Coturnix japonica: one gene and its partners. The protein of the gene in region 3 purifies or fractionates together with the protein of the main gene of each other region. This does not show direct contact. Links are inferred from orthologs where the notes say so. Each region holds a gene or a part of one and is shown on either strand. Other genes may lie near its edges.

Evidence for each region.
Region 1: the proteins of GRB2 (region 3) and MYH9 purify together in Homo sapiens (affinity purification with mass spectrometry; 3 studies listed by BioGRID and IntAct, with this or other methods). This does not show direct contact. The link is inferred for Coturnix japonica from reciprocal best matches to the Homo sapiens genes GRB2 and MYH9.
Region 2: the proteins of GRB2 (region 3) and MAP4K5 purify together in Homo sapiens (affinity purification with mass spectrometry; 7 studies listed by BioGRID and IntAct, counting the BioPlex papers as one, with this or other methods). This does not show direct contact. The link is inferred for Coturnix japonica from reciprocal best matches to the Homo sapiens genes GRB2 and MAP4K5.

What each region holds. Positions count from the first base shown.
Region 1 is NC_029516.1:47,326,765-47,330,408, reverse strand, and holds the end of MYH9 (myosin-9), read right to left. Parts: intron 2,965-3,644; coding exon 2,756-2,964; intron 2,321-2,755; coding exon 2,212-2,320; intron 1,994-2,211; coding exon 1,821-1,993; intron 1,662-1,820; coding exon 1,544-1,661; 3' UTR 39-1,543; downstream 1-38. UniProt on the Homo sapiens protein: Cellular myosin that appears to play a role in cytokinesis, cell shape, and specialized functions such as secretion and capping. Required for cortical actin clearance prior to oocyte exocytosis. Promotes cell motility in conjunction with S100A4.
Region 2 is NC_029520.1:52,486,206-52,489,949, forward strand, and holds the start of MAP4K5 (mitogen-activated protein kinase kinase kinase kinase 5), read right to left. Parts: upstream 2,287-3,744; 5' UTR 1,883-2,286; coding exon 1,784-1,882; intron 1-1,783. UniProt on the Homo sapiens protein: May play a role in the response to environmental stress. Appears to act upstream of the JUN N-terminal pathway.
Region 3 is NC_029533.1:9,419,841-9,423,584, forward strand, and holds the start of GRB2 (growth factor receptor-bound protein 2), read right to left. Parts: upstream 2,713-3,744; 5' UTR 2,558-2,712; intron 410-2,557; exon of another isoform or gene 281-409; intron 1-280. UniProt on the Homo sapiens protein: Non-enzymatic adapter protein that plays a pivotal role in precisely regulated signaling cascades from cell surface receptors to cellular responses, including signaling transduction and gene expression.

The DNA of each region.
Region 1 (3,644 bases), on a different chromosome or scaffold from region 3:
GTGTGGCCAGGGAAGGAGGGAACGGCAACGCAGGCACATAGACTGCAGCACATGGATAATCTTTATTGGTAACATCAGTGGAGCACCAGTAATCCATTACTGACTGTAGTGGTGACACACAGCTGAGGCACATGCTAAGGCACTTTTATTTTATATATATATATTTATATATATATAAAAAAAAAAAATTAAAAAAAAAAGAAATTAAAATTTCCTTGTGACAGCAATTGGGACACGAGGCTCCTGCACTCAGAGCGCTCCAGGCAGACAGCACAGTGCTCCAGCCTTAATTATCTTTACTTTGCTCATAAGTAGGTCTAAATGCAGCATATACAATATGGTTAAGAATACAGGTAAATCCAGCAACCAGTGTACGGTGTAGAAAAGTAAAGACTATCTCTATATAACCATGGTCCCAATAGAAAGGCAGTGATAAAGACCTTTATTTTTTTATCTTAATTACTTATTACGAGAGATACAAAGGCCTTACATATACCTGTGCAGATTAAAGGGTTTTTAATATACTCTTAGTCAATGGTGCACAATAACTAATCCCAACCCCTGGTTACAGAGCAGGTGCAAGAGGCTCGGACATGTCAATAAAAGAGGGATTTCCCTCCCCTCATCCCCACCCTCTGCCCGCTACCCTATTAAATTCCCCTAGATTCTATTGCCATTAAATATATTTGGTCCCCTAGAGATTCTCAGACAAGCACAAGGACATCATTCTGCTTCCCCAGCCTGTCATCAACTACTGGTCCACGCTACCTTAGATGAAACCGCTCAGAGGCAGAGACACTAACAGGACATCATTGCACTTCAGAGATCTGTCCAGACAGTAAAAACGAGGAGGAGGGGGGAGGGAAGGGGAGAAAAAAAGAAAGGGGAAGGAAATTGTTTTGTAAAAAAGACAACTTTGGCAAGTCCTCCAGGTAGTCCCGGGGGGGTTTTGGGTTTGGGGTGACGGTTGTTTCCCTCTTCACCCCTCCCTGGAATCGTGTGAAAGAAGAAAGGCTGAGTTGCCATGGCCAAAGCACACCGTTTTTCCTGAAACTGCTCCCAAACCGTGTGGGTGGGCAGATGAAAAGAGGCAGAAGTCTGAGGTCACTGAACACGATTGCCGAAAGCAAACAAAGAGGGAGGGGAAAGAATACAGGAAGGAGCTTCCCTGCAGCTAGCATCTGAAGACAAAAAGGAGATTTACAGCAAAAATAATCTTTCCCTAACCCCACTCCCTCCAAATTGTGTAAGGATTCATCAGCAGACGTGGCACAGACAGTTCTACACGACTTTGAAGATGCCAAACTGCCGTTCAGATTTCAGAGCCCCAACTCTTTGGCATTAAATACAAAGAGGATTAGGAAACTGGAAAAGAGGAGGAAACGAGGAACGCAGATGCCCAATGGCTCCAGATACACAGAGCCGGACTTGCTCTGCAGATCCCCAGCCAATTTAAGAGGAGAGGGTTTGCAGAAAGTCCAATGGAAAAGGGGAGGGTGGATGGGTCGTTCCATCGTGTGTAACCTGGGCAAAATGAGAGGACTTATTCAGTAGCTTTGGCATCACCAGCTTCTGCCTTGCCGTCCACTTCCTCATCGGAGCACTCTCCTGTGCCCTTCCTGACAAGCCGACGTGTGACAACAAAGGGCAGGTCCCCGCGCCTAGGGAAGGACAGACAGCACATCAGTAACACCAGATTCACCCCACACACCAGACACGGCAGGCTTGGGAAAAAGGAAACAGACTGTTTGCTGTGGGTGGCTACAGCAAGCCTATGCTGTGCCGGGTGCCAAGGTACCGCACAAAACGCTCTGCCTTACCTGAGTTTGCTCTTGAGGGAGCTGACCTCTCTATTCATGGCATCAGCTGTTTCAGTGGCATCGTCCAGTTCGCGCTGGAGTTTCCTGCGGGACGCGTTGGCTCGCTGGGCCTCCTCTTCTGCTTCCTCAAGCTGGCGTTTCAGCTGCTTCAAGCGCATGTTCGCCTTGTCCGCCTGAGAACGGGCAGGGAAAGAGATCAGCGCTCCCTCGCTTACAGCACAGCAGTTACAGTGGCAATAAGGACAGTTTCCCAAGTCTCCCCTTCCTGAAAGAAGCTGCCTCGGACTTGGCAGCTCCAAGCTTTTCCTCTTAAATACAGAGGATGCCTCGACCATAGGAGAGGAACCCTCCCACCAGCAGACAGTACAATGCTGTAGGTAACCAAACACACCTGATCTTTGAATTGCTCAGCATTACGCCTCTCATCATCCACCTGCAGCAATATATCTTTCAGCTTCTTCTCAGCACGGCGCACTTGCTTGCTGGCAGCCTGGCGCTCCCTGCACAGAAATACAGCGACAGCTCAGATATGAATTTACCCCCTGCTGTCCCCCCATCAAGACCTGACACAGGTAAGTTAGAAACAAAGAGGATATCAGAAATCACACTAATTTTTTATTATAAAAGAAGAAAGAAAAAAAATGGATGGGAAGCAAGGTTTCCTAGAGATGATTAAAAGCTACTAAAAGGTATTGGCACCACAGACACTTCTCCTGACGCTACAGAGGAACAGCAACAGCGCATCACAGCTGCAGCTTTAGGACTGGTTGAGTTTGGCTGAAGCAAAAGGACTCTACAATGAGAGCAAGGATGCACCACCCAGTACCTCTACGATGAGGCCCTCATACAGACAAGGTAGAATTTGCTCAGAAGGGCTTAAAATTCCTGAGAGGGCGGGTGCTTGTAAAACAACCAGAGTTCTGGCTAGGACATACTTGGTCTCCATGTCTAACTGCTCTTCCAGCTGCACTATCTTCGCTTCCAAGGCTGTGATGGTGGCCTTGTACTTGGACTTCACTGCGCTCTCCATCTCCTGCAGCTTAAGCTTAAGCTCCTTGTTCTGGCGCTCCATCTGCTGGCGAGCATTCTCATTCTTCTGTGCGTTGCTGCGCTCAGCATTCAGGTCGGCATTCATCTGATCAATCTGTGGAGAGAAGCAGCCCTTTGTATATCAGGTGTCCCAGTGTGAAAGGCTGACTTTGTTCTTAGACACATGCTGACATGCAAAGAAAAAGGACCCTCAGGGTGAGCTGAACACCTGGAATAACTGCTACAGGAGGAGCTGTCTGTAGGCAGAGATGCAGACTACTACTCAAAACTTCTTAGCTTATTCCAATTTTTTAAAAGTAATTACTTGAAAAACAGGCTTATCAACCTTCTCTTAGGACTATGTTTGCCAATCATGTGCCTCTCCCGGGTGAAGGAGCAGTTTGGCACTTAACGCAATAATTACCAGTCCTAGTGAACTGCATCCGTCCTGAAGGCAAGTGGATTCAATACACGTGCTCTACTGCTTTAGCGATCTATCGCTTACTTGCTGTCTATGTCTGCTTCAACAACAAAGAAGCAGCCTGAAACTACTGACTTTCAAAGACAAAAGGGCAAAAACTCAATCCACTTCCAATCCAGCGCTCTGGCTGATAGTCAAGGAGAAAGTTATGTTCTTTGGAGTAGAGCCACCACTTGGAAAACCATCAGCCAACTTCTTGGCTTTAGAGAGCTAACAGAACAGCATGCCTGACTCCTAAAGTCGGAAAGATAAAGCACAGCAGAGAACAGGCAGATTAGGATCATCGTTTCTATAGCAGCCTAACAAATTCCATA
Region 2 (3,744 bases), on a different chromosome or scaffold from region 3:
TGAAACATCACAACAACCAGGTATTGACTAAGAAATGCTTTCTATAAACAGGGCTCAGGGAGCCATCTGTGCTAAGAGCCCTACCACGGACACAGAAAACTCCAAGCACAATGTTTATACATCAACTGCTTCCAAGAAAAGAAGTTTATCTTAGATACTTTTAACATGAACACAACATCAATGGCTTGTAAAAATGAAGTTGGCTTTGCATATCTGCCATAACAGCCCACACCATCCCATTCAGTATTCCCTGGACACAGTTCCTCCCCATTTGCAAGGTTCTATGAAAGCAAAGAGCACACCAATGACCTGGAAACACAAGCAGGCTCCCTAACTACTTTAGACTCATTAACTTCACACTTCATTTAGAAGTGTAAAACTCCATCCAAGGCTTTGATTTACACTTCCCAGGTTGTACTAGGAGAGGGTTTATCAGTGAGACCCCTGCAGAACAGAAGGATGCTTACCAAGACCCAAAGAGAGGAGGGTTTGGTGGGAAGGGGGGGATGCTATTTACAGGGCACAGTGCAGGGCCCTGCATCCAGCCAGCTCCGGAACTGGAAGCTACAGGACATGTCAGCACAGCTCTCCACTCATTAGCACCATAATGAGAAGAAGAACGTGTCTTTTTGAGGAGCAAAGGGATGATGCAGAACACTTCCCTGAGACACAGCCAGTCCCTTCTCACCACGCTGCCCTACGCTGTGCAGCTATACCCAAACAAACCAGCTGAAGCCACGCTATGTTTCAGATTTATGAAACCTGAGATGCCCCTTTTAAGTATTATGGGCCAGATTTCCCAGCAAAGTCACAGAATCATAGAATCACAAGGTTGGAAAGGACCTACAAGATCATCTAATCCAACCATCCTCCCATTACCACCGCTACCACAAGCTACTAAAGCAGATCTCATAGCTCCTCAGCCAACTGATCTGTGCACAGCACTCTAAGGAAAAAAATAAGAAGGTAAATAGCCATTACCATGAAAACGAAATAGTTAAAAATAACTCCCTGAGGCCAAGAGTAACCATTTCAAAGGGGGATGAGAATGAGATCCAACTATAAAACTCCAATTTGAACATTAACAAACAGCCCTCCCCCAGCACGCAGCAATTACCAGAGCCTTTGATGTGGCACAGCCACGCACCTCCGCTCCTAAGCTCAATCACACCAGGCCTATTCCACGTACAGTCAGCAGCATTATGAAGTACATCACAGCCATTCTGCCCACGGAGCTCAGAAATTCGGACTGCTGACACAAAAGCCAAAAACGTTACAGAGTTGCTGGGCATCCCTGACAAATAGAACGGGCTCATAGTGTCATCAGCAAATGGCTGGGTTGGAAGGGACTCAAAGGCCACCTGGGTACCCTGTCATGGGCTGCCTGCCCCTCTGCTCAGCCTGCCCAGGGACCCTCCATGGCCTGGGGCACCCCCAGATCTGAGCAGCCTGAGAAAGGCTACATTAGGAAGGTGGGACGCCCACACCGCTGTGGCTGTAACTGTTTGAGCAGAACCCGTTGGCTTTCAGAGCGAGCCCAGCAGCGAGCTCCAGCTTCCGAAGAGCTTTAATCTGCTCCTGGTTCGCGGCTATTATTAACCCCGGGGATAAACTCGCGCTGTGTTAATCAGGTGCTCGAAGCGATGCGCTCTCCGAGCAGGTAAATACCCTCCGCCTTCAGCCCCGGGCACAGCACCGCCCGCAGCGCCCCGAGCGGGGCCTGGAGCCGCCGGCCCGTCCCGGAGCCGGGAGAAGGGGCCGATTCCGTTCGGGCCGCCCTTACCTTGTAGACGTCGCCGTAGGTGCCGCTCCCCACGCGCTGGATCAGCTCGTAGTCCTGCTGCGGGTTCCGCCGCATGATGTCCCCGCTCGGCCGCTCCATGGCGGCGGGGCCCCGCGGGCCGCCCTCCGCTCCGGGCCGCCGCTCAGCACGGCCACCGGCCCTCGGCCCTCATGGCTGCGGCGCCGGGAAGTGCCAACCCTCCCGGGGAGGGGTCTCGGCCGCGGCTGACAAAACAAAGGGGCGCTGGGAACGGCCGTTGGCCGCGGCTCTGCGGGGAGGGGGTCCCGGCCCTGAGCGGCTCGGCGGCCCCGCAGCCAGGCCGGCCTGCCCAGCCCAGCCCTGCCCGCACTACCTGCGCGGCCCTTTGTCCCGGCGCTGAGGGATCGCCGCCGCCTCCTTCCTCCTCCTTCCTCCTCCCTTCTCCTCCTTCCTGCTCCCGCCGCGGCCCCACGCACGCACCGCGCCGGGACGGGACGGGACGGGACGGCGACTCCGCAGCGCCACGAAGCGGCGGATCCCGACCCCGACCCGCGGCCATTCACCGCCTCCTCCGCCCTCACAGCGCTGCGCTGCACCGAGCGGCAGGCGGGGTCCCCGTACTGCACTGCCCTGCCCTGGATGGCCGCCTTTAGAGTGCTGGGCCCGCAGCTCCAGGCAGACAGAGAACTGCAGCGGGGTGTGAGGCACGTCCCCATAGGGACAGGCTGAGAGCCCCGGGCCGAAGGCTGAGGGGTTCTATTGATGCATATCGATATCTAAAGGGCAGGAGTCAGATTAGTAAAGGCAGAATATTTCCTCCTTCATGGCAGACAGCACTGAGGAGCATTGCCATCTGTCAGGCTGTGGCAATGCAGAAGGCGATGCAGCCTGTGGGGCTGCAGCTGGTGATGCGGTGAGGCCATGGCCTCAGGTTGCACCAGGGAGCTTTGGGTTGGGTTTTACTTCCAGCAAAGCAGCCATACGTCTGAGTAAAACCCACCCGTGCTCTCTGAAATGGCTGCTGTGCAATGTAATAGACCGAAGCGCCCAGCCACGGAGCAGAGGAATGCTGGAATCCACAGCGGTATCAGGCAGTAAAATCATTAAGGCCTACAAAAGGAGGTGTGAGTTCTGAGGTGCAAAAAGCACCACGTACTCAACGCAGGAAATATATTTGCAAAAGCTTGGTAGGATGAATGAAATGGATGCCAGATGTTTGGGCCTTTTGGTGCTCGGGCCTCTTTGGCAGGCAGGCAGCCCCATTGGGCCCAATGCATTGACAGAGCAGCTCGGTGCAGCTTCCCAGTTCCAAATGGAGCCTGTTTTTAGCTTAGCACAGCGCGTTTGGGAGCGCCACGTGCAGGTACCTGAAACCACACCGCCGATTGCGTCAGCTTTTCCTTCCAAACACGGGCTCTCTGGCATAACTCATTAGGATTATTGCACCGTTTGAGGTTGAACTCAAAGGCTGCGTGTGCTGACGCTCAGGAATTGCACAGTCACGTCTGATTTTATTGGGCTTTGATTTATGGGCTCGTTGGAAATGGTGCTTTTCAGGAGCGGGCTCCAAATGTAAACTGCCTCGCTTCCAGAGCGCCAGGGAAGCACGTGACTGCCAACTTAAAGAGATTCACATTTCATTTCCCCTTGTGCTCTGAAAGCTCTCGACATCCTGTATGTTCTCTCCAACATCAATACGTAAGTTTTCCTGAACGCCCAGCAAATAAAGAAAAAAATCTATTTACCCTTCAGGGGGCTGTGTTTCCTCTGGCCATTTCCAACCAAACAATTACCTCTCCCCTAGAAATTGGCTTCCTGCACTCCTGATAGTGAGCTGTTTGTGTCCTTTCCCTCCCCCCCCTTCCTCAGCTGCATATTTGAACACCACTTTTCATCTGACAGACTTTCTGCTCCCGTCAAGCCATCAGATGACAGCACAGGAAAGGCCGTTTCGTTTTCCAGTAGCAGATGGTGCATTAAGA
Region 3 (3,744 bases):
TCGGCCGCCCAGCCAGCGCCTCAGCGAGCAGCGCCTCGGGAAGCCCGAGCTCAGACTCGGGCCCGCAGCCTCGGCACCGCGGAGCACGGAGAGGAGGCGGAGCCGTGCGGAGCGCAGGCCGCGACGGAGAGGGCCGCCCTTCGCCGACGCTCGGCGTCCCGGGAAGCCGGGCCTGTGCCGGAGGAGCCTGCCGCTCACCGGAGCGGGTCGAGGGCGGGGGGATCGGCGGCCCGGCGCCGGCCCGCCACACGCGCCCCCCCCCCGCTTCCCCCGCACTCACCGCGCAGCGCTGTGGGCCGCCGCCTCTCCCGAGGCTTGCCGTCGCCCGCTCGCCCCTCCAGCGCCGCCCCGGTCACCGCCCGAGCTCCAGCCCCGTCCCGCGGCTCCCCCTCCGCCCGCTCCGCCGCCGCCACCGTCCCCTCGGCAACTCTCGCGAGAGCGGCCCTGTCACCAACTCGCTGCTCCGCCCGCCGCGCTGCGGCGCATGCGCGTCCACCTCCCGCGTGGCAGACGGGCAGCCCCCTGCGCGCACGCGCAGCTCGCACCGGCAGCCGGGACCGGGCTGCGCGGGGCCGGTAATGCGCTGTTGTATGTGCGCCTCTGCTGGACTGAGCGCGGGGCGCCCTGCACCGCGCAGTGACAAGCACATTCGGAACGTTACTGCTACGGAAACTGCACCCGAGCATGAACGCTGCGATCCTCGGAACTGGGAGGGTGCAGAGATCCACAGCTGGAGCTCTGCAACCGGCTGCTCCGAGCTCTGCAGGGGAAAAACAGGCCTTACAGTGTGCGCAGGGCAGGACCCAGAGCGCACGTGCCGTCACCCCAAGGTCTCATTGCACAGCATTCTTAGAATTCCTTTAGCTCCAAGAGCCTGCAATTAAAATACTCAATTCCTCAATAACACAAGTGCATGAAGAATATTTCCTCATGCTCTAGGGAGAAAAGCTATTTCTGAAACAGGCTTTCCAGAACCGCACTCGCAATCCTAGAAAAAGGCTTTTTTAAAAACAAAAAAACAAAACTAACGACAAAACAACCCACCATCGCGTGCCAGTTTCCCAGAACAAGCACTGACCAGCCACGAGCAAATTACTGACGGTTCTCTCCCCATAGAGGGTGGAGAAAAAGAGCCCTGGGAGCTGAGGATGTTCCACGTGTTTCAGGCATTGTTTGTGAGGATGCACAAGTCGTTTATCGGGGATGACAGACTGCTGCAACCACAGCTCGACTCCAACATGTCTCCAGTCTCGCGCTAGCACCGACCTCGAGTCTCTGGTTTCACCATCTGACTTCAAAGGGAAGATTTAGAATTTCTCAGTAAGTTCAACAACAATCGCAGCAGTGACAGCAGGTACTTGTCACAGGACTTGAACAACCAGACATGGCCAACAGCTGCCACATGAACCACGGCTACTGTAAGAGGCTGTAGCTGCCCGACTTTAAAAGGGCAGCCCTACAAGGGCAAGTCATCAACAGATTTTAGAAATAGCAGAGATCAAAGTGTTATGGAAAAATACTTCTGATAAAGAAGCTGCTGAGATGCACTTACAGATCAGGGAAGGTAGATTGTTCCCCCTCCTCGCAAGCACGTGAACACTTTAAAATGTACAACTTACTGCACAGATACCAGAGCAGCTTCACGGCGACAAAAGCCGAAATCCCAGCACAGCTGTAAGCCCGGGTGGAAGACATGTTTTACTAGAGGATCGATTTCAAATTATGCGCTAGTCCAGGAATAGCTTGAATTCTCTATGACCATTTGTGGTGATAAAACAATCTAAGAATAGTTTTGAGTATTTTAAGAACTTTTAAGAGAAGACTTGGTGCCTGACACTTGGATCTTTTCTTAAACGCCTCAGAGCAGCCTAGACAAATCAATGTGTGATTTTCTGCTACTAATAGATTTTAAGACTACATCTTAAAAATCTATTCAGAACACAGAGAAAAAGTAGCTTTTATTAGTAGCTTACTTGAGACCCACGGGGAATCTGCCTCAGGAACCAAGTAATCCAGCCTCCAAACCTCTGTTCAAGATGCATCTTTAACCTCTTCTTTAAAGCATTTTACTAATTCGGTACATTTTGCTGTGGTGGTGGAACAACCTGAAGAGGAACTAACAAGAGGCTCACGCAGCACTAAGCCCACGATCTCACGTATCCCCTTCCCTGTATCGTGTCTAAACTACAGCAGAAAATCCCCCAGACCTGCCACTATTTCCTTTTAAGCGACTATGAAGGGTTACAGCAACTCATTACCACCAAAGCACAAACAATTTCAGCACCTGCAATTCATCACCAGACGAACAGCGCTTCTGTGAGGAGGATCCTCACACGGAGCAGCGCGTCTCAACCCGGGACGTACGAGCGCCGACCTACGGGGATGACGACACACGCGAACCGTATCGGCTCTGCCGGTAGCTCGGGGCTCAGCACAGCGGCACCACGCGCCGTCCCCGCGTCACCCCCGATTTCGTTCCCATATTGCGCAGCGGTTCAGATTTCTCCTCATGTTACCGGCCTCGCTGCCCCGCGGCTTCCTGCGCAGCGACACTCACCTCAGTGCTCCCGCGCTGCCTCCATCCGGCCGGTGGCCGTGACACACAGCGGCTCCCGCAGGTGCCGGCCGCCGTCCGTCCGTCTGCGGCGGGGTCAGACGTGGCCGCTCCGTGAGGAGCCGCCGCTGCTCAGGGCGACCCGCCGCCAAAGCGCCCGCTCGGCTTCGCGCGCTACTCCGACCTCACCAATCAGCGAGCGGCGTACGGGCAGCCGCCCGGGATCCCACCAACCAGATACCGGCTTCTTGAGGAAGCCGCCGCGAGTCCCCAGCGCCGTGGCGGCCCGGTTCGCCAGTGACGCTGATGGCGGCCCCGGCGGCGCTGGGAGAGGCCGGGCGGCTTCCCCGCCGAGACGGCCCGGTGCGGCTGGTGAGTACAGGCCGAGCGGCGGCGGCTGCGCTCCGTCCCGCCGCGGGGCGAGTTCGGGAGGGCCCGCGCTCCCTCAGTTGGGATATTCCCCCTTCGGCCCCGGCCCTGTATAGAGGCCCTTGCAAAGCCCTCCCTTCCCCTCGGGCCGGAGGCTCCCGCGCAGCGCCGTTACCCTCAGCGGAGCGATACCCGGCGGCTTGTGAAGGAGATAGGAGAGAAAGAAGCGAACAAATGGCAGAACGCTCCGACGCGTAGCTCCGGGGCACACGGACTCGGTGTTCCTGTCATTGAAGCGGCAGCTGGGCCCGCTCGCACGGGGCGAAACGCCTCAGCGCCCACCCGGCACGTCAGGGCTCGTGTGGCGGTCAGGCCGGTACCTGCAAACTGCCCGAGTCTGACGAGCACCTGAAGCTCCCAGCAGGGCAGGAACCCGGCGGATCCATCCTCCTGAAGCAGTTCCCAGTAGCACAGCTTCCCACACACACACAGTTTCAAAAAAGACAAAGCCCCTATGGCAAAATTGATTAAAATCATGTTGTTTGTTACAGCAACAGTAGGAACAAAATTCACAGTTGGACAATGAACAGTACAGCATGCACAAGATGTGATAATGTAGTGCATCTGTATTTCAGATTCCTTAAAAACAGAAGTGTAAACAAACTATTATTAGCTCCTGTGCTATGTTAAAGTGCACATGGAGCACAATTTAAATAACCTAGAAGGCTTAAGAGTCACATTAAGAAATCTCTATAATACAGACATACATGCTGCTGATTTATACAGGCACCATAAGTCCTTTTGGTTAGTACTTCATCTAC